Elephas maximus indicus: one gene and its partners. The main gene of each other region encodes a partner of the protein of the gene in region 2 in a complex. Links are inferred from orthologs where the notes say so. Each region holds a gene or a part of one and is shown on either strand. Other genes may lie near its edges.

The links.
Region 1: the proteins of PEX14 (region 2) and PEX19 are in contact, whole or in part, in an NMR structure (PDB 2W85), measured with the Homo sapiens proteins. The link is inferred for Elephas maximus indicus from reciprocal best matches to the Homo sapiens genes PEX14 and PEX19. Residues at the interface, in NP_004556.1 of Homo sapiens: Leu28, Thr31, Ala32, Lys34, Phe35, Asn38, Ser39, Arg40, Val41, Ser44, Thr48, Phe52, Lys56, Leu58; in NP_002848.1 of Homo sapiens: Gln67, Phe70, Phe71, Leu74, Phe75, Ser77.
Region 3: the proteins of PEX14 (region 2) and PEX5 are in contact, whole or in part, in an NMR structure (PDB 4BXU), measured with the Homo sapiens proteins. The link is inferred for Elephas maximus indicus from reciprocal best matches to the Homo sapiens genes PEX14 and PEX5. Residues at the interface, in NP_004556.1 of Homo sapiens: Thr31, Phe35, Asn38, Arg40, Val41, Ser44, Pro45, Thr48, Arg49, Phe52, Lys55, Lys56; in NP_001124497.1 of Homo sapiens: Glu59, Leu62, Val63, Glu65, Phe66, Leu67, Gln70.

What each region holds. Positions count from the first base shown.
Region 1 is NC_064821.1:198,956,733-198,966,433, reverse strand, and holds the start of PEX19 (peroxisomal biogenesis factor 19), read left to right. Parts: upstream 1-5,038; 5' UTR 5,039-5,076; coding exon 5,077-5,146; intron 5,147-6,535; coding exon 6,536-6,645; intron 6,646-7,069; coding exon 7,070-7,235; intron 7,236-7,669; coding exon 7,670-7,755; intron 7,756-7,985; coding exon 7,986-8,147; intron 8,148-8,982; coding exon 8,983-9,159; intron 9,160-9,394; coding exon 9,395-9,439; intron 9,440-9,607; coding exon 9,608-9,691; 3' UTR 9,692-9,701. Other genes in the region: COPA (coatomer subunit alpha), read left to right, coding at 53-112. UniProt on the Homo sapiens protein: Necessary for early peroxisomal biogenesis. Acts both as a cytosolic chaperone and as an import receptor for peroxisomal membrane proteins (PMPs).
Region 2 is NC_064821.1:50,298,434-50,308,740, reverse strand, and holds the start of PEX14 (peroxisomal membrane protein PEX14), read right to left. Parts: upstream 3,646-10,307; 5' UTR 3,640-3,645; coding exon 3,604-3,639; intron 1-3,603. Other genes in the region: DFFA (DNA fragmentation factor subunit alpha), read left to right, coding at 7,723-7,858, 9,639-9,800. UniProt on the Homo sapiens protein: Component of the PEX13-PEX14 docking complex, a translocon channel that specifically mediates the import of peroxisomal cargo proteins bound to PEX5 receptor.
Region 3 is NC_064822.1:64,042,156-64,051,306, reverse strand, and holds the start of PEX5 (peroxisomal biogenesis factor 5), read right to left. Parts: upstream 3,650-9,151; 5' UTR 3,544-3,649; intron 3,522-3,543; exon of another isoform or gene 3,449-3,521; intron 2,924-3,448; 5' UTR 2,908-2,923; coding exon 2,761-2,907; intron 2,447-2,760; coding exon 2,411-2,446; intron 1,916-2,410; coding exon 1,783-1,915; intron 1,585-1,782; coding exon 1,453-1,584; intron 1-1,452.

The DNA of each region.
Region 1 (9,701 bases), about 150 Mb from region 2:
GCTTCCCACCCTCACAGATCCCTAACTTTTCCCTCTCTTTCCTCTTCCACAGGTTACAGAGATTGGCAAAGATGTGATTGGTCTAAGGATCAGTCCTCTGCAGTTTCGCTAGGGTCCCCTTTTTGTGCATAGGGGAGTCATCATATTTTCCTTCCAGAGAATGCCCCTCTATCATCCTTCTAATGTCCCCCTACTCCCAACTACCCCTCAGATTATTGACATTTGGCTTTCCCTATGCTAAAGCCCAGTGCACTTTTCTTTTTTATTATGGCTAATCAAAATGTCTAACACTGACTTCTTTGCCTATGAAGCCCTCTCATCTTCTCATGGTGACTACAGTTGTGGTCATAGTTGGCCTGGCCCTCCCAGCTTAGGTCTTTCAAGAAACAAATGAAAATTCAGTGATGAGCATTCATTTAGTAAATTCATTCATTCAATATTTGTCCCTCCCCTTCCCAGCATCTTTGTATCCTGTTTGCTAGAAAGGAGTGGAATGTAATAAGATATGATTTTTTTACTCAACTCTCCCAAACTCTTAGCCATTCTCCCATTTTCTTGGGCATTGAACCTCCCAAGTAGGTACCCTCTGTGTGCCTAGAAATTTAAGGTCTGAGAGGAAACCATTTGATTTTCCAGAAGTGTATACCCCTTTATGTTGATTTGTCCTTTACAACCATTGTTCTCATATTTTGTTTCTCATACCAAATAAAATAGATTTCTACAAGAGCTTCTTGGCTTGCCATTTCTTTCCTGGACCCTCTCAGGTTCTCCTCACCCCATGCAGCTGCCTCACTAAAGGAGATATCTTTCTTGCAATAGTTATTTTTAATTACAAAACAACTAATACCACTGTTTAAAAAAAAGAAGCATAAATTGTTCATAGGATGTATGTGAGGTATAGACCTAAGCTAAGAATGGTAGGCAGCAGGTAGCTTTTCTATTCCATTTTTCACTGCGGTCTTTCAGGTATGCTAATTACAGCCATTATTTGTTGTGCCTGTTACTGCTCTAGGTGTTTTATATGTAACACGCATATGTAAGAGTCATTAGTAGTACACGTATATATTACGGTGCTTACTTTGGCAATATTGTATTTTGCTTGTCCAGTAATGAGACTAATTCAGTAAATAGTGATGTTCTGTGCCTTTGATTAAAATATGTCCATTTTAAATTTTTAATGTTTTTAATAAACAATACATTTGCATAGCTCAAATATCAGTAAATGTAAAAAGCTATACTGTGACAGCTGTTCCTCCCACCCCTTCCTCCAGCCACCTAGTTCCTTTCACCTTTCCCAAAACAGGTAACCACTGTTACTAGCTTGCTTATACCCTTCCAGAGATTTCTTATATATATACAAACAGATACATGCTCTTTCCTATCCTTCTTCTATGTACAAATGGAAGCATCCTATTTAACAATTCTGCACCCTGTTTTTTCACTTAGCATATTTTAGAGATTCTTCCATATCAGCATATTAGAGAGCTGTACTCTTCTAGTGTTACATTATATGATATGCCATAATTTATGTAAGTTGTCCTACGTTGGTAGATATTGGAATCATTTCCATTCTTTTGCTGTTATAAACAGTGCTGCGATGAATTACCTGAACACACATTGTACAAGTGGGGGAAGTATACATGGAGATAAACTCTTAAGAGTGGAATTCTTCCTTCAAAGAGCACCTGACCCATTGCCGTTGAGTCGATTCTGACTCGTAGCAACCCCATAGGACAAACGAGGACTGCCCCATAGTTTCCAAGGAGCGCCTGGTGGACTCGAGCTGCTGACCTTTAGGTTAGCAAACATAGCCCTTGACCACGACGCCACCAGGATTTCCGCAAAGAACACAAGTCTTTATATGTTTTACCTTTATACTAAGAGTCACTTAATATAAAGCACACCCAAACTAACCCTGCCTTCTTAAAATTTTGTATACTACTTTGATAACACTTTCTCAAGTTATAAACATTCTTTTTGTAAACAGGCAAGTTCGTTTGTCAAAAAAGACACCTTTTTGTAAGTTTAAAAATTAAATTACAGTCATGCACTGCATAACATCCATTCAGGCAACGTCCGACTGCATATACATCCGTGGTCCCATGAGGTTATAATAGAGTTCAGAAGTCTGGATCAGAGAACAAGATGTAGTAGTGGTAACCAGATCGCAACAGCTTCCCGCAGGTAACGTATATCTCATGTCTTTTATATACAAAGTGTATGTGCTGCCAGGGTATAATGGTACGGTGCATATGTAATCTATAATAACATTATGCCTTAATAGCCATAATAAATGTCTATGTTACTGTCTTACATATATACTGTACTTTACTTTCTGTTGTTATTTTAACATGAATTTTCCCTACTTAAATAAAAAGTTGATGGTATAACAGCATATGCTTCGACTCAGAGGCAGCAGCATCCAATCTCGTGTATTGTGCATCTCTTGAGTGTTGTAGCGTTATCTCTATTTAATTTTCTTTCTAAAATACTACTGTGAAGTGTATCATGGCTCCCAAACGCAGCAAAACCAGTGCTAGCGATAGCAGCAGCAACAGGCAAAGGAAAAGTATCAACTTGGAAGCAAAACAAAAGTCATTAAACAACACGAAGGTGGGAAATCAGTAAATGCTATGGCTCGCAATTTAGGCATGTTTGTACCACATCCAAATCACTTAACATCCTGTTTCACAGAATGTCTCATGGATGTTAAGCAATGCATGACTATAAAATTAACTTTGCACGGAACATAAACATTTGCCTAAACTGAGGGGTATGAAAAAAATTGACAGACCCCAGTTCTTGAAGCTTATGTAACTGAGGAGACAAAGTGGACGTAAGTGAAATAATTGTGAATGCCCGACGAAAATTTGAAGATGGCCAATAAACAGTGGAGTGTCATTCAGTTCTTAAATAAGAGTGATGTCAAGGAAATGCTGTAAAATATTGTTTTGTAACACTGTTCACTGTATGTTAGAAAGAAGGAGCAACCAGGAGTTGAGTAAATACTGAGCTGAGGTGTTAGGAATCTTAACAGTAAAATAGAAAAGCAGAAACAAGCTTAAAAGATACTGCAAAGGAAGAATCATGCTGTTAGAGTCTCTTAATTCTCAATTATCATCTAGTAGTTACCATATTAAGGTGCTTATCTTACCACAATGGGAGTACTAACTTGTAGTTGGACAAAATGTTATACTTTTAGCATACATGCCTGATAAAGCCATATTAGAGACACATGTATAAGCAGTTCCGCGTTGAATGAGAAAATTAGCCTGGAATCAATTATGTGACAGGTGTTTGAATAGGGTGTTAGAGTACCAACTCCAATGTTAGATATTCGTAATCTGAGTCCTAGATTAATGAAGCGTTTTCAAAAGGACAGAGTGATTTAGTGACAGAGTTGGGACTAGAATTTAGGTCTTCTGGCTCTTAGTTTAGAATGTTTTCTCCTAAATGACACCACTTGCTTGCTTGGAAGTAAACAGGTTTTGCAGGGGTATGACTTTAACAAGTCTGTGCCATATCCGAGAAGGGAAAAGGTAAGTACACACAGTACTCAAATGTTTGGGAATCTAAGGGCCAAAGAGATGAAGTGAGTTACATGTGATTTTTTTTTTTTTAACATAGATGTGATTTTTCCCTTCTTTTAACCTTTATAACACCTTATAAACTTTATCGCTTTTAAGACACCTTGTGTCATACTTACTGTGTATATGTTTACTACTGCCTTCAGCCCAATCCCCAGACAGCTACTTTAGGGCAGGAGCTGTTCTTGATTTATCTCTATATCCTTCACTGTGCCCAGCACAGGATTTTAAACAATGGTAGATACTGAGTTATAAAATAGTTTCGTCTCTGAGGGAGTTGCATTCTGACAGATCTGAATAGGAGTTGCCCAGAATCATCTCTATCTGAGCTTTCCCCTCCGCACTCAAAATTACATTGGAAGTTGGGTTCCATATGGAGAAAAGGAGATAGGACAGAGAAAGCCAGAGAGGCTAGATCAGGTCTGTTACTACTACATTTGAATTGCCATTTTGCTCAGTCTCAGATGCCAGAGTTGCTTTTTCTGCCTGATTCAACTAACATTGAGTTCTTACTACATTTGAATTACTACACGTGGCCTTGTGTCCGTTAGTCCAACAGTTCTAGTGAAGAATAGGAAAAAGAGATGTCCGTTAGATTTGGCACAGAAGCGGCCTAATTAAGGGTCTGGGAGAGCAAAGAGTGGCCAATGAATGCCTGTTAAATACTTTAGGAGCTGGGAATCCAGCAGAGAAGACAACGGACAAAAATCCTTGCCTTCATGGTGCTTAAATTCAAGTGTGGTGGGAGGCAAGAGACGATAAACAAGATAAAAAGTATATATATAATATGCCCTAGTGGCACAGTGGTTAGCTCAGGCTGCTAACCAAAAGGTCGGCAGTTCATATACACGAGCTGCTCCACCAACCGCTCTTTGGAAAACCCTATGGGGCAGTTCTGCTCTGTCCTATAGGGTCGCTATGAGTTGGAATTAACTCGATGACAACAGGTTTGGTATTTGGTTCGGTATAGTGCTCAGTCTTAAGGAGAAAAATATACCCAGAAGTATACATGTGTATGTGTAGGAGGGATTGCAATTTTATTCAATGAGGCCACAGAAGGGGGTCTCAGAGAAATGGCAGTTGAGTAAAATATCAAAGGAAGTGAGGGGAAAAATAGTGTGGGTTTCTATGCACTCTAATTGTCTTCTTGGTGATACATGGGTAGCTTCTGGTTAGGTGTAGGGAGCTTGTCCTAATCTGGCCTACCCACAGCTTGGGAAGAAGTAATGAAAGATCACTTCTCTAGGTATGTGGGAAGTTGAAGTAGAGGAGGCCAGGCCAATAAGAAACCTGGCAGAAGATCACAATATATTGCCCTCGCGCTAGTTCAGCAGTTCCCAGCCCATGAGACCATGCAAAGCTTCCTGTCCCTTTAAAAATGGCGGCTCCGGCCTACCAACAATGCTACTGGCTGCACAAGGCGGACGGGGGCGGGCGAGTGGGCGGTGCCGAAGAGCCCAGCCCCCTACGGCAAGCCGGAGGTAGCAAGATGGCCGCCGCGGAGGGAGACTGTGGAGTTGGGGCCGAGGCTGATCGCGAATTGGACGAGCTTCTGGAAAGTAAGACCCGGTAATGGGAAAGGCCCGGAGGGGGCGGGTGTGAGGACCCATTCCGGGGCTTAAATGAGCCTGAAATATCCGGGGCGGAGAGGGAGCGGGTCTCCAAGGGTTGGACGGGGACGGAGGTCTAACTGCGACCCCGAAGAAGATCTCTGGGTCACCTTCGCGGCAGGAGTTGAGGAGCTCATCTTTGGCCCCCAATGGCCCAGACCTAATGGCCCAGACAGTTGATCTCCCTGCCGGAGGGGGAACGGTAACCCACAGAACAGGATTCCTCGATTCCTCTCAAACTCTTCTTGCTTTAGATTAAGAAGTTCGTGAAGTCTTAACTTCCCGCCAGCCCAGCATTCTGTCCGCGGTGGGCAACGAAACCGACAGTCATGGATTGCTAACATTAACTCTTCAAAAACCCGTAGTGCGTCCTTCAGTGCCCCTGTCTTATCCTTAACGCAAAAGACACTTCTGTCCTCCTCCTAGTCCTATCACCCTTCCCTCACTAGTCTCCTTTACGGTTCTTACATCACGTCAGTAGCTCACGCGGACTACTTTCCTGTTTTTCCTGAGAAATTGAGGGTGAGCCGGCTTATAAAGCAAGCCAGTTGACTCTCCTGAAAAACGGTGGATGTTCTTTTCTTCCTTGGCCCTGTGTTGGTTTCTTGCCCAGAGTGAGGCCAGTGCCCTCCCCCTAGGCCTGGCAAGCAGAGTGGTGGTGGAGACCCAGAGGTGAATTTTTTGTCTTGCCCAGTCACAGAGATGTGGGAAGGTGGAAAAATGAACAGAAACTGGGAGTGCCAGGCGACTGTTTGTGAATTGCGGAGGTGGGGCAAGAGGGAACCCTAGAAGCTTTGCTGAGGGAAGGCTAAATTGGAGGCTAAGAGAAGAGGGTTTAATGTCCTCCCATGGAGTGCAACGTGGAGCCCCTCAATTTGTACTAGCACCAGGACCAAAGGAAAGCTGGGTGGGATATCTTTTGAATTCTGCTTTCTTGCCAAAGGTCATTCCGTTTAGGGCTCCAGAATGAATTCTATGTTCCCTGCTCCTGTTGGATATTTTTATAGGCTTTACAGGGAATCATTAGGGCGTGGCAAGGAAGGCATAATGTAAATGGAGATGTACTTTGCCCTCTGCCCTTTTAACCCTTTCCTCCCAGGTCTGAGACCGGTTTGCTTGTTTCACCTTAAGAGATTTCTTCCTTTTTGATTACATTAAATTAAGTAATGGGGGAAAAGTGGGAGGCTTATTGAGGGATGGACTGGGAGGTGGAGACTCAGAAAGAGAAAAATTTAGAGAAGTTGGCAATTTGAAAAATTGTTCTTTTAATGCTCAGAAACCATCCAGCCTTTCTCCATCACCCATCCCCAACACACACCATGTCTCTTGTCTCTGAAGGTGCTCTTGATGATTTTGATAAGGCCAAACCCTCCCCAGCAGCCCCTCCTACCACCTTGGCCCCCGATGCTTCCGGGCCCCAGAAGAGATCTCCAGGAGACACTGCAAAAGTATAAATTCTACCCAATTAAGGGAGGGGGAGGGGAGGGCTATACAGGTCTGAACCGAGGTGGGTCAGGCCCCTGTGGGCCGGAGGGGAGTGGGAAAGGGTGCCTTGGCATCACATTGCTGAGTGCTCCTGCAAGTCTCAGTCTTTGTAAAACAAACTTCAGGTTGAGTGGAGGGATCTCAAGGACGTTCTCTGAGAAAAGAGCAGGTTTAAATGGTTAGATTGGTATGCCAGTCTATACCCTTCCTTCAGTGGCCAAATGCCTTTCTTGATGTCCTCATCGGGAGACGTAGTTAGAACTTCCAATGGAGGCACGTAGGAGGGAGGCACTGCATTTCTCAAAGCCACTGCCTGTAGCTTCTGCCACAGGCCAGGTGCAGTGAGGTGCCAAGTAAGAGACACATTTTGCCCAACCTCTCCTGCAGGATGCTCTCTTTGCCTCCCAAGAGAAGTTTTTCCAGGAACTGTTCGACAGCGAGTTGGCTTCCCAAGCCACTGCGGAGTTCGAGAAGGCAATGAAGGAGTTGGCTGAGGAAGAGCCCCACCTGGTGGAACAGTTCCAAAAGCTCTCAGAGGCCGCTGGAAGAGTGGGTGAGGAGGGGACCCCAGACAGCTGAAAATATGTTCAAGTCATGCTGCTTGAGAACACTGGAATTCTTAGTAAGGTTGATAGCAATCACAGTGTCACTGTTGTGGGGTAAAGATAAGGAGAGGAGATGGGAGGAGAGGTGGGAACCCTACTTAATGAAAGAGATGAGATAGGTTGGAAAGTAATAGGAAAGATGATTCAAAACTGACCGTTTCGAAGGTTGCACTGTTATTCTGGGTATCATCATGGAGAATAAACTGACGCATGGTCCATACGGATTTATGAAAATGACCATGAAGATAAGCATAGACTTTGAAGCTTTAGAATGATAAGCAATTCACTGGTAAATGCTCCTCACCAAAGCTGACAACTGTGTTAGTCTAGCCAGGCAGACCGTTAAAACCCCAAATGACCCTGGCTCTTTGGTCTGTCCTAGGCAGTGATGCGACCTCCCAACAGGAATTCACTTCTTGCCTAAAGGAGACACTAAGTGGACTAGCCAAAAATGCCACTGACCTTCAGGTGAGAGGCTAGAGGTAGGGGACCACATGGGGCCCACTCCCGGACACCTTCACGACCAGAGTCTCAAAAGACAAAAACTCTGGGGTATCATCCCAAGTCTGTCCCTGCCTCATTGTTTTGAAACAGTCAAGTTTAAATCGTTCTTCCCTGGGCTTCTACTTTCCCAACTGAAAGGGTGGTAAGCCATCCTGAGAAGGCAGTATGCTCACCGTCTCTCCTGTCCTCTCTAGAATTCAGGCATGTCGGAGGAAGAGCTGAACAAGGCCATGGAGGGGCTAGGCCTGGCCGAAGGGGGCGGGGAAGGGAGCTTCCTCCCCATCATGCAGAGTATCATGCAGAACCTACTGTCTAAGGATGTGCTGTACCCGTCACTGAAGGAGATCACAGAAAAGGTTTGTCAGTCCGCTTCTGCTTTTCCTCCTCCCTTGCCTCGTATCAACTCTTATGGGCTACTTTGTGTGCTCAGGGCCTCTAGAGAGAGACTAACTTGAATGCACAAGTCCCTCTGCTTTTTTTGTCTCCTTCATTTATGTGGAATGTGTAGGGTTGGGGGAGTTATGTCTCTGAAAGATGAGAGTTTCCATGCTGAGGATCTCTGGAGTAAGAGGGGAAACCCCTCAGCTCTCATTTTCTGTAGACCGGCTCAGGACTCTGGGTCATAGTCTCATCGACCTCTTTTTGCATTTGTGTCTTCGTTTATTTCTCCAACAGTGATTCGTGTGAGAATATACTGCATAGGTTCTCAGCACTGGCTTTGTGCCGTAAGTGATTTAAAAAGAGTTTAAATGATGAGCTCTGTAGTTAAAGAGCTTATAGTTTTATTGGAGATAAAATATAGGCCTAGATGTTTTTTAGTGACAGATAGCAACATGCAGTTAAGTGCAGAATGAGTAATATAGACCAGAAGTTGGCAAACCAAGCTAAAAAAGCTTTTATATTTTTATGTGTTGTAAAAAAAAAACAAAGAAGAATATGTGACAGAGACTGTATGTGGCCCATGAAACCTGCTGTCTGGCCCTTCACATGAAAAGTTTGCCAAACTTTTATGGTTTGTAGACCATAGCCAGGGGCTCTGGTTGGAGTCAGTGCTACCTCTCATGCTGAACTAAGTTATTTGGCTTTTTCCTTCAGTGCTACCCTCCTCTCCATATTTTAAGTATTGTTCTCATTGCCCTTCCCTATTCGTTGTTTACTTAATTGTTAACTACCCATTCTCTGTTTTCTCAGTACCCAGAATGGTTGCAGAGTCACCGGGAATCTCTACCTCCAGAGCAGTTTGAAAAATATCAGGAGCAGCACAGTGTCATGGGCAAGATATGTGAGCAGTTTGAGGCAGAGACCCCCACAGACAGCGAGGCCACTCAAAAGGCTCGTTTTGAGATGGTGCTGGATCTCATGCAGCAGGTAAGGCCTCCTGTTGGCCACCTGCCTTCTGGTGCTGTCGGCTTGGGTGTTCAGTGGAGGAGGCATCTAGGAGGGATGCCACACTGCCACAGCTGGGCAGAAGAGGGAGCACAAGAGAGGCCACATAGCATGGTCCTCAGGAGAAAGCCCCGAAGATCAGAGCTCAGGTTCCTCTTCTGGGCTGCTGTCTTGTTTTCTGGGTTTTTTCCTATCTCATGTTGCTCTTATTTTCCAGCTACAGGACTTGGGTCATCCCCCAAAAGAGCTGGCTGGGGAGATGGTGAGTATGTTTTCTCCTCCTAGATTTTAATCAGATCCCTAGTTTCCAGAATTCTGTACCCTTTAGTGATTCCATCTAAGGTGATAACTGTGGCTATTGGGGATGGACCTTCAGAAGGTCTCACCCTAAATATGAGCAGTTGTCTGAGTCCCTTCATCTCTTCTCCAGCCTCCTGGCCTCAACTTTGACCTGGATGCCCTCAATCTGTCGGGCCTACCAGGTGCCAGTGGTGAACAGTGTCTGATCATGTGAAATACCACAC
Region 2 (10,307 bases):
GCCCTCAGGATCCCCACCTCCTAGCATTCAGCCCTTCCCTTGAGTGTGGGCAGGACCTGTGACTTGCTTCTGGGCCAATACAGTAGAGCAGCGGTAATAAGACATATGTAATTTTATGCATGTGATTATGTTACATAAGACCACAAAGTCTGATTTGCTAAGAAACATCTTTTCCTTACTGAATTTGAGGAAGCAAATGGCCGTGCTGGGCAGATCCAAATAGCAAGAAAATGAGGAGAGCCTCTGGATGACAGCCAGCAAGAAACTGAAGCCCTCAGTCTGACAGCCTATAAGGAACTGAATGATCCCAATAACCATGTGAGTAGATCCTTCTCCATTCAAGCCTCAGATGAGACCACAGTCCCAGGAGGCACCTTGACTGCATCCTTGTGAGACCCAGATAAACCCTGCCCTAACCAAAACAACTGTGAGATAATAAATGTGTGTTCTTTTAAGTTGCTAAGTTTGGTAATATTGCTATGTAACAATAGATAACTAACACAATCCAAATGTCCATCAACTGGTGAATGGATCAACAAACTATGGTACAACCATCCAATGGACAGTAGCTCATTATGTGGATGGACCATAGTTTGTTGGTACATGGTTCTTTACATCCGTGATTTCAGTCAACCTTCTAGGGTAATTACTATTACTCCCATTTTGTTGTGATTGTTAGTTACTGAAGAGTCAATTCAGACTGGTGGTCAACATATGAAAAATCACACTCTAAAAGCTGTTAAATAGGACTTAAGTAAAGGTTTAGATTCATTTGTGAGTGAAAATCCAGAGTCTATAGACTAATACCAGTTGCTGTTGAGTCAATTCTGACTCTTGGCAACACCATGTGTGTCAGAGTAGAACTGTGCTTCACAGGGGTTTTAACAGCTGATTTTTCAGAAGCAGAATCCCAAGCCTTTCTTCCGAGGTACCTCTGCGTGAGCCTGAACCTCCAACCTTTCAGTTAGCAGCTGTTTGCACCACCCAGGAACTATTCTTGAATAATAACAGCTAACACTTACTCTGTGTCAGGCACTGTTTAAGCACTTTTACATAAATTCACTCATTGAATCCTCACAGCAACCTTATGAGATAGGTGCTACTGTTACTCCTATTTTACAGATGGAGAAATTAAGGCAGAAAAGTTAAGTAACTTGCCCAAGATTATACATCTGGTAATAGTGGGACTAGAATTCTAAGCCAGGGAGACTGGCTTCAGAGTCTTTGCTGTATATTGCCTCTCAAGGAGAGAGAGAGCTATTCACCCTTAATCTTTTGAAACCAGAGACTGATGCCCCAAGGCCAATTAACAAATGTTCTGCGAGATGGAATACTGACTCAGCTCCACAGGTCTGACCTATGCAGCTCTTCTCACATACAAACTAGGTTTCAGGGCTGAATTATCCAAACGGTTCTTAGAAGCCCATTCGGCTTGGAGTGGAGAAATTGGAAACCAGCTTAGTCAGGGCTTGAAAACGGAAACAAGCAACTGCTAAAGAGAGCTGGTTCACTTAAAAAAAGGTATGCATATGTTTGTTTGGGGGGCACTCAACTCAGGCTTGGAAACCCTACGGGGCAGTTCTAGTCTGTCTACTTTGCCCTATAGGGTCATAATGAGTCAGAATCTGCTAGATGGCAATGTTCTTTTTTTTGTGGGGGGTGTTGAGTTTACATTAATGGTGGTGGAATAATTTGGAAAAGGGTAGTGATAATGGTGGCACAAATAGAAAAAATGTAATCAATGTCATCGAATTGTAAACATGGAAGCTGTCGCATTGGCAGTTGTTTTGGTGTATATACATTTTCACCAAAATGAAAAAAGAGGTGTGCTTTTGCAGGTTATTGTCAAACACTGATGGAATTACAATGGAGAACTCACAGAAAGTTCAAGTGTTTCCCCCAGGCTGCCAGCATATTCTGATGCAATACCATCTCTACCAGCTTTGGAAAGGAGGGCAAAGGAGAAGCAGAGCTGAAAACCAAGTAAGTGCGGGCCAAGCCCCTTTAAAGGGACTTAGATCCTTTTCCACATGAATAGAGAGGACAACTGCCAGTACCAAAGGGATCTTTTTGGACACTGCAATGGCTCCAAGTGGCAAGACTTTTAGTGACTGTCATACTACTGGCAAATTAGACACCCTAAAGGTACCCTTCAATCACAGCCTGTGGGTATTCCTAACATATAACAGTTTAAAGAAGCCCAGGCCTCAAAAAGCCTCAACATTTCAGCAAAATTAGTGCGGTAAGGCAAGAAAGGAGGGCCGCTTCTCTCAAGACACTTTCCACACTCCAGAATTTCCGACAGTGAAAAGGCCAGAGTCAGCCCTAGTTATTTCCCACGCATTACAATACAGGCATCTTCTTCCTGATCTGGGGCACACACTAAATCCTTTAAGTGCAGTTCCCGTACTAGGCTCATCATGAAGAATAGGACAGTAAGGAACACTAGCTGATGTTCTTCTGCCTAGGAAGGAAGCGACAGAGGAGTAAGCTGCTGAAAACTTAAAGATGTTTCAAGGAAGTAAAAGATAAATGATAAAGTCCCAGGTTGAAACCATTTTCTTCATCCTCTGTCTAATTCTAAGTAAATCTACACATGTATGGCTGACTTGACATACTTGGGTTTAAATCCAGACTCAGTCAGGGGCATGATTCTAGGCATGTGACGGAACTTTAGAATACATGTCCGCAAAGCGAAGGTTAACTGTCTTCATAAAGGTTGTAACTGGCATTAAACGAGGTAATAAACATAATTTGTGTTCAGCGTGACAGCACACACTTAGTAAATGTAAGGTACCTCTTATCCTTTTCCTCCTCAACTCACCTCACCCAGCCTCACCTCACCTTTGGACTATAAATCCCTTCAGAGGCCTTATCATCCACAGCTTCCTAAAAGCAGATGAACACTGCTCCTCATAGTCCCCTTACAGCACTGGGATTTGGCTGAGTCTGTAGGTGAAAGGCTAGAGTGGAACTCCTGGCCGAGAATGTCAAATCCACGGAAGTGATGATAGTTTGGCGGCGTCTGTTGTTTACAGCGCGTGTCCCTTTCCCCTCAACGCAGAGAGGGTCCAAGTACACTCCCGATCCTCCAACTTGGCGGAGGGAGCGAAAGGTGACTAAAGACGAAGAAGCTAGCAGCGAGGCAACTCCAAGAGGCTGAGGCTGCGGGGGAGTGGGAATCCTAACGGAGTCAGCCCACCCCCCCCCCACCCCCCCCACGGAGGGGACAACCTTAAACGATTGAGTCTCTCATCCTCACTGCTCAAGCAGGGGCCCTCGAAGCTCAAGGATGGGGGATTCACAAGGGTCCCGCCAGTATCCCAAAGCTCCAGTAGGGCCGGAGGTGCTGGCGGGCGGGAAGTGGGGACCCGCGGAGGCGGCCGAACCCCCGAACCCAAGCTCGGGAATGTGGTCAAAGAGGGGTCATAGGGAGAGGGGGGCGGGGAGGACCCAGGGAGGGGCGGGGTTCGGGAGGGGACAAGAGATCGGGGCCCCCAGTTTCGGAACCTCGGGGTTGCCACCTGCCTCCCGGCAGTATGCCGAGCACTCCCTCACACCGGGGTCCCCGTCGCCACAGCAGGGCAGTCCAGCTCCCCTTACCTGGCTCGGCTGCTCTGCCTGCTCTGAGGAAGCCATCTTTCTGAGGCCTGACTAATCTATCGCCGCTGGGCGAGGCTTCTCCCAAACGCCTTCGCTCTGGCTTTCCCGCCCAGACTAAAGTAGCCGGAATTGAGCCGGTCGATGGGGAACATAAAGGGGAGGGGGGAACCGGGGTGTCCAGGTCACCTCGCACAATTTCCACTAGGTCTCTGCTTTAGAGGAAGATCCGAAGTCTATCCTTTTTGTATTGCTGTGTGTATAGTATTCTTATTGAATTAAATCTCTGCCCATCCTCATAGTGCCTTGAGCACACGTAGTGACTCGCTAAGTATTAATTGAATGGGATGAAACTTGAAAGTTAAATTTTAGTACCGTTTATTGAGCGCCTAGTATTTCCCAGGAACTTTGTTATGTGCCGGAAATAAATGCAAGCCCCAGTCACTGTTCCCAAGCCCAGGCACACACAACCCCCCTGCAAAAAAAAAAAATTTTTTTTTTACAGCATTGATGTGCTAGAACTTCGGTAAAAGGGTAGGACTATTGGCGAAACACAGAAGAGGGAGCATTTGCGGGGGGGGGGGGGAGAGGCTTCTACTAACCGTCATTGCTTTATAGCTGTCGAGTTATTAGGTTTAAAACTAAATGTGACATTACGTATTTGAAAAGCGATGTGTACGTTAGAATTATTGTTCAGCTCATATTGTAGTTATGTTTTGACCAATTGTGGAGTACTCATAAGGACGGCATATGTCAGGGTTGTATCCTTTGACCATACTTACTCAATCTATAAAAAATCTATACGCCGAGCAAATAATTTGAGAAGATGGACTATATGCTCCTTGGAAACTCTTAATGGGCAGTTCTACTCTGTCCAATAGGGTCACTATGAGTCCGAATGACTCCACAGCACTGGGTTACTGGGTGGGACTATATGAAAAAGAATGCAAGAACACAGCATCAGGTTTGGAGGAAGACTCATTAACAACCTCTGATATCCAGATTACACAACCTTGCTTGCTGAAAGTGAAGAGGACTTGAAGCACTAACTGAAATGATAAAGGTCAAAGATACAGCCTTCAGTATGGATTACATCTCAATATAAAGAAAACAAAAATCCTCACAACAGGACCCATAAGCAAAGTCATGATAAATGAAGAAAAGACTGAAGTTGTCAAGGATTTCATTTTACTCGGATCCACAATCAACATCCATGGAAGTAGTAATCAAGAAATCTAACAACTTATTGCATTGGGCAAATCTGCAAAAGACCTCTTTAAAGTGTTGAAAAGCAAAGATACCACTTTGAGGACTAAGGTGCACCTCACCCAAGCCATGCATGCAAAAGCTGGACAATAAATTAGAAAGACCAAAAAAGAATTGATGCCTTTGAATTATGGTGCTGACGAAGAATACTGAACATACCATGGACTGCCAGAAGAAGGAACAAATCTGTCTTGGAAGAAGTACAGCCAGGATGCTCCTTAGAAGCAAGGATGGCAAGACTTTGTCTCATGTATTTTGGACGTGTTATCAGGAGGAACCAGTCCTTGGAGAAGGACATCATGCTTAGTAAAGTAGAGGGCCAGTGAAAGAGATGAAGAACCTCAGATAGATGGATTGACTCAGTGGCTGCAACAATGGTCTCAAGCATAGCAAGGAATGTGAGGATGGAACAGGACCAGGCAGTGTTTTGTTCTGTTGTACATAGGGTCACTATGAGTTGAAAACAACTTAGGGGCACCTAACAACAACAAGGACATAAGGGTACTCATAAAAGCAGCATCAGGATTGGAGGAAGACTCATTAACAAGCTGCGATATGCAGATGACATACCTTGATTGCCAGGAATGAAGACAACATGAAACACTGATGAAGGTCAAAGACTACAGCCTTCAGCATGGATTATGCCTGAACAAGAAGAAAACGAAAATCCTCTCATGTAGACCAATAAAGAGTTCCCTGGATGGCACAAATGATTAAGCACTTCCCTACTAACTGAAAGGTTGGCAGTTCGAATCCACTCAGAGGTGCCTTGGAAAACAGGCCTGGCAATTTGCTTCCAAAAGGTCACCGCCTTGAAAACCCTATGGGGCAATTCTACTCTGCACACATGGGGTCACCATGAGCTGGAATCGACTCAGTGACAGCTAACAACAGACCAATAAATGGCATCATAATAAATGAAGAAGAAATTGAAGTTGTCAATGATTTAATTCTACTTGGATAAACAATCAACACCCATGGAAGTAGCAGCCAAAAAATCAAACGACGTATATGCATTGCATTGGGCAAATCTGCTGCAAAAGATCTCTTTAAAGTTTTAAAAACCAGAGGTGTCACTTTGATAACTAAGGTGCTCCTGACCGAAGCCATGGTCTTTTCCTGCCCCATATGCATGTGAAAGTCGGACAGTGAAAAAGGAAGATGGAAGAATTGATGCATTCAAATTGTGTTGGTGAATATTGAATACACAGTGGACTGCTGGAAGAATGAACAAATCAGTCTCAGAAGAAATACAACCAGAAAGCTCCTTAGAAGCAAGGTTGGTGAGATTTCATCTTGCTTACTTTTGACATGTCATCAGAAGGGACCAATCACTAGTAAAGGACATTATGATTGATAAAGTGGAGGAGGATGGATGAAGGTGAGGGAGGCCCTTGGTGAGATGGATTGACACAGTGGCTGAGACAATGGCCTCAGACATACCATGAAGAGGGCACAGGACTGGGTAATGTTTTGTTCTGTTGTATACAAGGTCACCACGAGTCAAAAGTGACTTATGAAGAGGGTACAGGACTGGGTAATATTTTGTTCAGTTTTATAAAAGGTCACCATGCATCGAAGCTGACTGGGCAGCAACTAGTAACAATAACATAAGGGTTGCCTCAATTGACAGTCCCCTTATAAAACACTGTTTTAAATGCCTAAACTTTTCTTATGAGATATTTCTTCATGCAAGTTTTTATAACCAAAATGTGAAAAGGGACTGATGCATGTTGTTTACATAAAATGTCTCCCCCCCTTTTAAGTGAGGAACTTTTTTGATTTTTTTTTTAATTATTCAAATTGTAAATGCTAGTTCTCGAACGGGGAAACAAACCAGACGTTTCCATAAGTGGTAGTATTAGAACAAAGATGAACATATTGCCAAACGGCATCTGGAGAATCCCCAACAGTGCTGTGATTTGCTCTTCCCCTTTGCTCTCTGATTTCTTTGCAGCCTTAATGTTTATATCTTTTTATTCAAGCATTTTGTTCTGAGGGCCCAAACCCAATTTGCACAGCTAAAGCAGGGAATCAAATGGGTGGAAATGTGTGGGTATCTTATGTTACTTTTTTCCGTGTTTCAGCCAGACTGAAAACTACACTCATCAATTTTCAAGTCAGTCTGAGGTTTGGAACATCTTAGGGATCTTTTCAGGCTGGAAAAGGAAAATCAATTACACAGTGCAATGACCAACTGTCTTATTTATGTATGGTGGCACAGTGGTTAAGAACTTGGCTGTTAATCAAAAGGTCAACAGTTAGAATCCACCATCTGCCCCTTGGAAACCCCATGGGGCAGTTCTACTCTGTCGTAGGGTCGCTATGACTCGGAATCAACTCGATGGCAATGGGCTTTTGTTTCATATATACAAATAAGAGTACGGTAAAAACCCAAGGGATTCCAAATGCCTGTATTTCATATTGCAAAATAAATCCCTATTGGCCTCATTTGTGAACATGCAATTGCAACTCTGGGTTTTTTTTTTTTAAGCAAGGTTGAAACAAACTCCTGTTGCGCTTAATAGCGCGATTTAAGGGGAACTGAAGTCCGCTTGGGGCAGTTCTACTCTGTCCTGTAGGGTCGCTATGAGTCAGAATTGACTCAACGGCACTGGGTTTGGCTTGGGTTTGGGTTTGAAGTCCGCTTTGGATGGAGAGACTACCACTCCCGGCATGCCCCGGGGCCGCACACGTGATTAGAGGCGACTAGAACTACATCTCCCGGAGTGCCTTGGTCCCACGGGTGATTTGAGGGAAGAGAACTACATCCCCCGGCATGCTGCAGGGGTGGGGGGACCGCAGCACCGAGCTTCCCTGACTTCTCCCAGTCCTTCAGGTCCCACCTTGAAAAGGATGGAGGTGACTGAGGGTACCGGGGCTCCTGAACCCGGCGAGATCCGGGCACTGAAGCCATGTCTGCTGCGCCGCAATCACAGCCTCGAACTGCATGGCGTGGCGGTCTCCTGCCTCGAGGAGCTGAGAAGCAAGGGTTAGTACTGCGCTGGGGCAGGGGCTGGGGAGGGACCGGGCGGGAGAGGAAGTCGGGCGGGGACCGGTCGGGGTTCGAGGGGCGACCTGGGCAGACTTGAAGGGCCGGTGGAGCCTTGGGAAACGGCACCGAAATAACTCGGCGTGGGTATAGCGCTTTACAGGTTTCGAAACGTTTCATAGTCGTTTACAAGGCGCTGAAACTTTATCTCAGGTGAGACTCTTAAATGTGGAAAAAAGTAGACGGGAAGAAATATGCAAATTTAAGAGGCTCGACTTAGCTGTCTTGCCTAGAATTATACTGATTTCTGACCATATCTAGCCCAGTGTATTTCTGTCACTCTGAATCGTTAAAATGGTACTGGGGGCCTCCAGCTGAGCCACCGGGGGGCGGATTTTCACCGTCAGCTCCGGCAGGTACCTGTACCGGAAAGAGGGAGCGGCTTCTGACTGTCCTAGAAGTCCAGACAGAGGAACGGTGTTGAGTGTTGTGTGTGACTGAGATGACAGAAGTTCTGAGCCCTAGCCCCATGTTGTTACTAGCTGCTTGACCTTGCACTAGCATCTCTCGACCCTCAGTTTTCTCATTGGAAAATGGGGTGTAATAGTTCCGGTGCTGCTTGCCAGGACTGGTAGGACTCTCAACAAGAGCTGATATATTGAGATGATATATTCAAATGACTTCCAAATGTTATAAGCCATATATGGTTAAACGAGTGAGCTATCCCCAGGCATATAGTCACAGTGTGTGTCAGTACACTGCTTCCTCTTTAGAGACACTTAAGTTCCAACCAGTTATCATACAGAAGTCTTTCAAAGACTTAGGAGCAGCCAAAGCATTGCACATGTTCTGCTGATATGGCTTTTGCTGTGTATTTATTTTCTGGCATTAGGTTACTTAAGTCTGTGAGGGTTTCTTTTTTTTTTTTTTGTCACTGAAAAATGCATCCGTCTGGATGTACTTGGTACAGAAGCTTGTGTAAATGCTTGTGTTCAGTGGAGCTCGGCCTATGCAAGGCTTGCTTGCTTTTCTACTGCTATTTGGGTGGTAGACAACATTCCCTAAAGATATTTATAGTCTTTGCTACTTCTGCCTACTTTTGTCTCATCACCATCACTAAAGTGGATGGGACAGAGCTGCCCTGGGGAAAGCCTCTTGTGTAGTGATAATAAAGATGAAAAGAAACTGATACAAACTTGTTTCTCTTATGCTTTCCTATAGATTAGAAAAGCTGCAAAGAAAGATGCTACAAAGATCAAAAAGTTTGTTTGTTTTTTTTTTTTTGACATTCAACACACCAGAGAATTTAAGATGGCTACTGAATAAATGAAAAAAAGATTACTCATTTACAAGGAGCCAAACCAGACTTTGGTATAGTTTGCTGTATACCGAAAGACTTGAGTGCCTCTTGTGTGTAGTGTAGAATACCTGTAGGAAACACATTTCCAAGAGCAAGACTGGATTTAAATCCTGATTCTCTCACTTAACTAGCTTGGGCAAGTTACTTAACCTCTCCGAGCCTTGGTTTTTTCTCATCAGTAAAATGGGAATAATAATAGCACCTACCCTCTAGAATTGTTATAAGGATTAAATATTGTAGATGAAAAGCACTTAGAACAGTACCAGGCATGTGTTAAGTGCTATTTCTATGTCAGTATCAGTAGTTGTGGTTGCCAGTAGTTGAGGTTATAATTTCCTTACGGATGTGAATTTGCTCTTTGGATCTTGAGTTCTCTGAAGAGCAGAATTTTTTAGTTGCCAAATATTTTATCTCTCTCAGCTTGTGACATTCTGGCCATTGATAAGTCCTTGGCACCAGTCACCCTGGTCCTGGCAGAGGATGGCACCATAGTAGATGATGACGATTACTTCCTGTGTCTGCCTTCCAACACTAAGTTTGTGGCATTGGCCAGTAATGAGAAGTGGACATACAACAATTCAGGTAAGAAACACTGGCCATATCTAAAATGACCTGTGTGACACAACATCCATCACCATTAACTTCATTGCACAGCCAGCTGGTTGCTGTTTGTCGGGCTGTTTAAGCATGTATGCAGCAAACATTTTCTGAACTCCTTCTGTGTGCCACACATGGTGTTAAGTCCTAGAGGTAAAAGTGAGTGAGATGGAGGCCCCATTCTCGACTAATTCACAGACCAGTTAAAATGCAGCGTGGCAGAGAGATCAGTACTGCAAGCCGAAGTCAGGCTGCCTGGGTCTGAATCCTGGCTCTGCTGTTTATTAGCCATGTGACTGTGGGCAAATTACATAGCCTTTCAGTGCCTAACTGAGATAATAATTATAGTACCTATTTCCTCAGATTGTTGTAAGGATAATATAACATAATATGTATTAACCAGGGTTCCTCAACCTTAATCCTGTTAACAGTTTTGACCGGATAATTCTTTGTTGTGGAGAACTATCCTGTACACTATAGGATGTTAAGCAG
Region 3 (9,151 bases), on a different chromosome or scaffold from region 2:
TCGTTGTAACTTTCTCCACTTGTGCCTCTCATTCTCTTTTATTTCTTAAATTGGAAAAGGCTAATGGTGCTTCTCTTTGAAACCAATCAGGAAGAAAAAATTAGGTAGGTTTACAGACAGAAGGATCAATCCCAAGGCATGAAGTGCGCAATGGACAATCTCAAAGAGGAAAAAGTTAGCATGAGACAAGGGCTTCAAACTGGTTCTTCCAAGTTCAGTCATGGCCAAGGAGGTGACACCAGAACAGATCTGAATTTTTAAAATTTGGGTAACCCAGAACCACAACTAGAACAGGAAAAATTATGGGTCAAAACCTTACGTGAAACTTAATCTCCCTCTTAGAAAACAAGGGCAGTGTACATGTTGCATAGCAACCAAATGTCTTGCCCATAGGATTCTGTGCAGAGTCGGAAAGAGCTGTGCCCAGCTCAAAGATGGTGGTCAACTGCACCACTTTGTGTGTCACTCTCCTCAGTGCTGGTAATAATCCAACCTCAACTATCAGCCTCCCGAAAGGGCTCACCACACCTCTTCGAAGTCTCCCATTCCAGCTTCAACCCATAATTTTTCCCATTCCAGTTATGGTTCTGGATCATCCAAATTTTAAAAATTCAAGTCTATTCTGGTTTCACTTTGTCAGTCGTGACTGAACCGGTTCAAACCAGTTCAAAGCCCTGGCTGAGACCCTGAAGTCTGTGGCCAATCAAAAAAGAAGAGAATCATTCATCCCAGAGTCAAATCCCAACTCTACCGCTTACAAAGCTGGGCAATTTCCTTCACCTCTATGGTTCAGTTTCCTTATCTATAAACTGGAAATAAAACCAGTAAGGACCTCAAGAATTCTCATAGGGATTAAATACATAATGCATTTAAACAACTTGACACAAAGCCCTGAACAAAATATTAGCTATTAAGTTTTATTATTATCATCAAGGTATGGTCTTGGCTTTAAACTCCACAGCCCCACTCTCCAAGGCCCCAACTATATTCAAGATGACTTATTGCCAGAATCACAGAAGCTATTGGCAGATATTTTTCTCTTCCTGGGCAACACAGCCATCCACCCAATCTCTCTGGATCCTTTCTACCAAACTGTAGTAATAAAGTTCCAGATAACAAAGAGGTAGACCTAATTCTTCGTGGTACATATATATGTACGTACACACACACACACACACACACACACACACACACATTGGGGTTTGAACTATACGGATTTGGAAAAATCTCTTACCCAGTTCAAACTCAGTCCTCTGCTTAATATAAATTTCGACTCCCTACTATCACCTAAGGGAAATCATGCTAAATGCCCTACATAAAAATATGTCAAGAGGCCAGAAAAATAATAAACAGCTGAAATCACCCTGTACCCTTAAATGAATTAGGGGAGCAGTATAGAACTTTCATTGCCTCCACTGAAACCATTACAGATTTTCCAATAAGGAGTCTCACCTGTAACTTCAGAGATAAATTCTTGGGACCAGTCAGTCTCATTATAATCCTGAGTTACATCCACAGCATCTCCAGCTGCAAGAAACTCCTGGGCCCAGTTCTCAGACAAGGCCAAGTCTGCCACACCAGGGGCTAAAAACAGAAAAAAGAAATACTTATTATTTCTTTTATGCCTAGTAAGTAACCCTGAATGCACATGAAAACACTATGCTCCTTTTGTTTCCTTCTATATCCAGTTCCACAATGTCATCAGCATTCAAATTTGGAACCCCCTTGGCCCCGCCTACACAGAAAATGGTGACCTCCCCTCCCACCAGACTCTGAACCCACCTCTCTGGGGAGCCTGGCGGAAGCTGGACTGTTCAATCTCCTGCATCTCCGCCAGGAGGTCATCCATCTTGAAGGTCTGAGGGGCACGGGATACAAGTGATGCATTCTGGTCATGCAGGAATTCAGCCACCAGCTGTCAGAAAAGATAGTGAAATGAACCCACGGGGTCAGGGAAGTCCCAGCAAGAGACAGGGTCCACTGGATGAGAGATACTGATGTCAGATACAATGAAAGGATAATATAGAAACTGGAGACAATTAGAGAGAGAAACTTAACTCTCCATAGATTTGGAAACAAATAATACATAAAAAAAAAAAAAAAAACAAGCAGGAGAGCTAAAGCAAATCTCATTTGTTCAGGGAAGACCAAAGATTGAAATATGGGTGAGGCAAGTTTAAAAATAAAAGCACAATGTTGTTGTTAGTTGCTGTTAAGTCAATGCCCATTAACGGCGGCCCCATGTGTGCAGAGTAGAACTGCTGCAGAAAGTTTTCAAGGCTGTGACCTTTGGAAGCAGATCAACAGGACAGTCTTCCAAGGCACCTCTGGGTGAGTTCAAACTATCAACCCACTGGCTAGCAGTCGAGTGCTTAACAGTTTACAGTGGAAATGACACTGATATATTTACCTCATCTTCAGAGGATACTCCCAAAGGCTTAGAGACCTAAGACAGAACACAAAGGAAGGCAATACGGTACAGTGGCGAAATCAGTTGAACATGAGTTAAAATTCCAGCTCTACTACTGACTAGTTACATGACTTGAACAAGTCACATAACTTCTCTGGGCCTCAGTTTCTTTATGTATAAAATTGTTTACTTCGTCTATATAATAATGCACAGTGCTTAGTATAATGTTGAGTAAACACTCATTAAAAAGATGGTAACTATTATTTGCAGCACAATAAAGAAAGCAATTAGTTATCCAAGGTGTACACCTGGACGTTCCATCCCAGCCACCACTTGGGCTTTCCACTCACCGCCTCTGGAGGTGGGGCTCCTGGAGGCCAGGGGCCAGGCTTCAAGCCCTCCTGTCGCAGGGCCTTGTCCTGGGTGAAGTGCCCAGCCAGTTTCATGAGTGGGTTGGCACCCCCGCATTCTGCCTCCACCAGCTCCCGCATTGCCATGGTGACCGCCAGCTCTCTGATGGGCAGAGGTTTGGAACTGAGGTTCTGAAGACAGACCCTTCTCCAACCCCCAACTCAGCTCGCATATTGGGGAGGCTAGCAAACATCGGCCCCTCACGGGTCAGGCCCCTGGTCACTGGCTACTCTTCACCCCTGTGCCTTTTACTGTGGCCCACACCTCTGCCTGACCTCCAAGGGGTGCCGGGACCCTCCCGCCGCCCCCTCAAAGGCCACAGCCTTCAGCCTGGGCCTCTTCGGCAGCCTCCACGTCTGTGGTCTCGACCGGCTGAACCCGGCCAGCACCCGCCCCCTACGGAGTGGCCTGGACACCAGAGGGCCACAGGGGCCGCTTCTCCAACCGCGCTGGACTGGGACACTGGGCGGACACGAGAAGGGAGTAACAACGCCTGACCGTAAGCCCTGTCCCCGACACCCCCCGGTAGTCTGCTGAACACCACGGGGGGCCACCCCCTCCCCCAGGTCACCTGGGCCCCTCCCTCTGCTCGACCCGCTCCCGGCCCACCCCTCCCGCGCTCCCCACCACTCCATCTGCTCTGGCCCTGCCCCACGAGGACACAGCAAGGGCGGGGAAGACGGGGAACTCGTCCCCGCGCCCCCTCGGGACCCTTTGCTTACCGCCGCGCACCGCGCCGCAAGAGCTGCCGGGGCACCCGGACTGGCGGGGGAGGGGAAGGTAGAGAAGGGGGAGCCAGGGGGCGGGGCTCAGGCTTAAAGGGGCCGTGACCGCCGCGCTGCGGTCGCGGCTCGGCGGAAGCTGTTTGAAGGGGCGGGGCCTTAAGGATGCGACGCCGCGTAATGGGAAGAGCGGTGAATCTTAAAGGGGAAGGGCTCCTTAAAAGAAAAATCTTGGAGCGTGTGCTCTTGGAAGCGCTTGAAAGGGTCGCTGACGCTCAGATTTATTTGATGGAAGGGTCAAGGAAGAATGGAGCTGAGGGGCTTCCCGGACTTTGGGGAAAAAGCCGAGGGCCCAGGTTGCTGGGCTCAGCTCATCCTTGCTCTTCCTGGGACTCATTGTGACCCAATGTCATCCCCTGCCCTTCCTAGGCCTCAGTTTACCCCTCTAAAACGGCCAGTCTTCCCAAGCCCCAAAGCGGGTAGAAGAAAAACCCTAATGCTGAGACTCGGGGACAGGAGGAAGTTAGTCAAGTCGGGGACCTTTTCCAGCCTCCCAGGTCTGCCTCTCTTCCAAAGTCCCCATAAAGGGATAGCGTCACAGTCTCCATGGAGACAGAGGCCTGCAGCCAATCCCTTTTCCACCTCTGCGTATTGGGGAAAATAGCACTGAATGATGACAAAGTCCAGAGACTAAAATAGGGTCCAACACATCCTGAGACTTAAAGCTGATAACATACAAGGTAGGTGTACAGTGAGTCACTTCTCCCCCACTCCCCTCCCTCACCTGTGGTTAAGGTCACTGTGGTGGCCTTATTCCCACTCCTTCCGGCTGATGCAAAAAATGCAGAACATGACTTTAAGCCTCAGGCCCCACCATCTGCCAGGGAATTGGCTCAGCTTTCAAACCTCAAGGTCACTGGGAAACAAACCCTGGTCTCTGACCTGGCTCCAAGACCAAGGGAGTCCTGGTGTCATGTAGAAGGGCAGGAGGGGCTCAGGGCTGCTGGTAGATGAGAAAGGGTATGGTAGACTCAGCCAAACAGAAGTATCATCCCAGCCCAGGGTGCACTCGAAGAGGCAGACAGACAGCAGGTGAAGCCCTAGGTGAGTCCTGTTACCTGGCTGTTGGTAAAGATTTCGATGGTGGAGGCCCCAGGGAACCAAAGAGACTTGGCTCTGTAAACTCAACCCTGGGAAGGCAGAGAAGCTGTTCTTAGACACCTCAGGGAAACAGAATGACAGGACAAACCTGAAGACTGTCGAAAATTTCTCCTTTTCTTTGCATTTTCACCCACTTTCAGAGGCCCTAATCCACTACCTCTTTTCCCCTGGAATACACAAATCCTGACCCTTGAGTGTCCACTGTTCTCAGGCTGCCGTTGTAAAGAATATACCTTAAAACATGCCGTTGAGTAGATTTTGACTCGTAGCAACCCTATAGGACAGTACAATTGCCCCATGGGGTTTTCAAGGAGCAGCTGGTAGATTACAACTGCCGACCTTTCGGTTAGCAGCTGAGCTCTTAACCAGCGCGCCACCAGGTAAATATCTAGTACTAATGAATTAAACCATACCAAGGAGGAACAGGTGCCCTCTAGAAAGTGCATACTTCCAAAAGAGAGAATCCCTGGACAGGGCACTTTTGCCCTGGGTGGTATAAATGGTTTGCACTCAGCTACAGACCTACGTATTGCTGGTTTGAACCTGCCCTGAGGAACCACAGAAGAAAGGCCTCGCTATCTGCTTCCGTAAGGATTACAGCCGAGAAAACCCTGTGGAGCATTTCTACTCTGTAACACATGGGGTCACCATGAGTCAGAATTCACTCCACAGCAATGGATTTAGTTTTAGGTTTTTGGAGAAGGCAACGTTCAACTGGAAGCATATGATATGGTAGACTTTCAGGACATTAAGGCATTAAGGGTTTCCCAGTAACACTCCAACCATACCACACACATTACTTTCTGCTCTGCTAGAAGCAATAACTCACTATGTGCCCACTCTTGGGAGAATGGTAATAATGACAACTGGTGCTTATTGAGTGCTTACTCAAATCCAGGTACTGCACTAAATGTTTTATGAGCATTAGCACTTTTGATTTTCATAACATGTTTATGAAATAGGTGTTACTAACCCCATTTTACAGATAAGACTTGTCCCCAAATCACACAACTAAGATGTCAGAATTCAATCCAGGCATAACTCCAGGTATCTATCTATCCATTACACAGCAAGGCCTCCTAGTCTTAAAGAAGCCTGGTTTGTAAGCCGTAGAATCCTTCACAGAACCTGGTCCACAAGTCCAAGAGGGTGTCTAGGGTTGGCAGAGAACTAATAGAGTTACGTGGGTATTTAATTAATATTTAGTTTATTGAAGTTCTGGATTTAAAATCCTAAATTTTGTTAATCCAGATTCAGCTATACATTCTTATTCTATTTATAAGAGTAGTAACATATAAAATAAAATAATCACTTTTACTTTCTCTTTAATTAATATTCAGTTAATTCAATTTTAACAGATTAAATTCCTTCAAACAATTTTTAAACACTTACATTGTGTTTACAATGTGCCAGGCACTATTCTAAGTACTTTTCAAGTATTAATTCATTTAATCCTCATATGAACTATATAGCAACTACTATTCCCATTTTACAGACAGGAAACTGAGGCGCAGAGAAGTGACTTGCCCAAAGTTATACCACTTATAAATAGCAAAGTTGGGACTTGAACCTAGACCAAGGTCAATAAACTTTGTTTGTAAAAGGTCAAATAGTTAATATTGTACGATTTGCAGGCCATATGGTCTCTGTCACAGCTACTCAACTCTGCCATTGTAGCATGAAAGCAGCCATAGACAATACGTAAATGAATGAGTGTGGCTGTGTTCCAATAAAACTTTATTTATAGGCACTGAAATTTGAATTTCATATAACGTCACAAAATATTTTTCTTTTGATTTTTTTTTTCCAACCAGTTAAAAATGTCAAAACTATTCTTAGATTGCAGACCATACAGAAAACAGATGGCAGGCTATAGTTTGCCAACCCCTAACACAGACGGTCTAGTTCCAGAGTCCGTACTTCTAACTACTTTGCTATACTTTGTTTTTAAAAAATCAAAGTCCCTTAAATATTTTGAACTCCTTGGGTACTTTCTATATATATATATATATATATATATATATATATATATATATATATATATATATATATATATATATATATGTATATACACATATATATATATGTATGTATATATATATATGTTAAAGCATTATATATGCCTGACAGAGCTAACAACCTTCTTTCTAACCTCTTTTTCTTTCTAACCTCTTATTCAACCCTTGTACATTTATAAAATCCTCTTAGTCCTTTTAACTTAAAATCACAAGTCTAAAATCAATTTTACCTCTCAGATTGAAGGCCTATCATCAGATTCTCTTAAACATCAGACATTTTAACTCAAAGTCATTATACACCTGAGCAAATTTACTGGCTCAGGTAGTTCAAGGCTACTGGGTTAAATTTGGAACCACAGTACAGGCACTTAGAGGTCAGAGAGTTAAGGCCAGGACACTAGACATAGGAACTGTATGGTCCCAAAATGATGCTATCTGAACCACAAGTGAACACCCTCAGTTGTGTCTCAGAGAAGAGTTCTGTCTGCTGTGTCATGAATCCCTAAAGCCGTTCCCCTCAACTGATAATGGTGTCCAACTCTTCAGTTACAACTTTACCTAGTTTTTATCATCAGATTAAGGTAGTTGAAAAGCTGTATCCCCACATCAGGTGCAACCAACTTCTTTCACAACTTCAGCTGAGCAACAAATCTCTGCTCCCTAGGTGTTGAATTTCACATTCCATGTTGTTGGAGGTGGGGGTTGGGAAATGGGGACGACCGTCTGGTTTGATTCTTTAGTTTTTTAATGACACAACGCACAGAGTAAGGGAAGTTTCCTTCCTCTGGATATTGCACGTCAAGCTACAGTCTTCACACATGTACATTTGAAAGGGTTTGTTGGTTATGATTATTCATCTGTCCTGTCAGCCTCAGTAGTTACCGTTGGCAGAGACACTTTGACAAAGGAAGAAAGCTGCATGTATGGTGAAATGCAGCAAATCCCAAAACTGGACCCATCTGTGTATACCTGGGCAAATCCCAATTGGCTTTAAAAGTGTTCAGAGTAGTGATATCTAGATATAATCAGCTATGTCCGGCATAACCCATCTACATTTGAGTACAAAATACCTAACCATTCTATAGCTACACAGCAGGGGATTTGCCTAACCAAAAGCAGGACTGTGTTACAGACACCCCTTACCCATGCTTGTAGCAGAATCTTACCACCTCTAGAAATCCAGGGAATTTTCACAATATGTCACCCTTGCCAAAATCCAGTTGGGAACCCATTGATCCCTTACTCCCACCACCCCCAAAGAATGGAAGGGAAGAAGGAAAAAAAGAAAAACAAAATAAGGTTTTTTATTTGGAGAATTTCTTCAAATGAGTGGTTTTACTCTCTTTTCAGTATTTTTCAACCAAATATCTACAGCATACACAGATAAATAATGTGTTTCAGTTTTTGCTTGTTTTGTTAGTTTGACAGGGGAAATTCACTTCCAGGAAGATGAAGTAGACATGCTTTTCTCTTTTTCTCCCACTGAGTACAACTAAAAACCGTAGACGCGATATATAAAACAAACATAAGAAGACTCTGAAAGATGGAGAAAAGAAGGCAGACCAGCTAAGGACCTCAGGACCCAAGGAACAACACAGCAGTGAGTAATCTAGGTTTTCTTTTTGCCTCATATATCCCAGACTGGGTGCTAGAGAAGCCGGCAACACAGCAACACCAATGGGTGCAGACAAAAAGAGCTCTAACAAAGACCTGCTCTCTCTAGGACGGGGGAAGGGGCAGCCTACCAAGACAGAAACTTTTAGACAGTAACTACTCTGCTCCAACTAAACATGAAAGAAAAAACTATGGCCCCACCAACACCAGTGAAGGCTGAGTAGGAAACAGAGACTTCTCTCCTTATGAGGCTATAAGGAAGCACCCCAATTCCCCCACTAGGGTGGTACCAAAGAAGCCCAAATAGGGAGCCAGAACTTTTATCTCCACAGGCCACAGCTCCGTCTCTCCCCTGAGATGTAAGTGGAGACCACGTGGGGAGCCAGGACACTCCCAGCCCACATAGCAGTAATGAGGAGTCCCCTTCCTACTCATGTATTAATGGTGGCCAAATGAGGAACCTCGATTTCTACTTCCATCTGGCAGTAACCAGATGGTGGTACCAGAAGAGTGATTTCCTTCTTCCCTTCTTGGAGTGGTGTCAAAGAAAGCCAATTAAAACAGAAGGTTTAAATAAAATCCAAAGTCTCACAACAAAACATAAAAACGTCCAGGTTTTAATCCAAAATCACTCATCCTGCCAAGAACCAGGAAGATTACAAACTGAATAATAAAAGACAATAGATGCCACACCAAGATGGCAGAAATGTTAGAATTATCGGAAAAGATTGTAAGGCAGCCATGATTTAAAAAATGCTTCAGTGAGCAACTATGAACACACTCGAGACAAATGAAAAAAATAGAAAGCCTTAGAA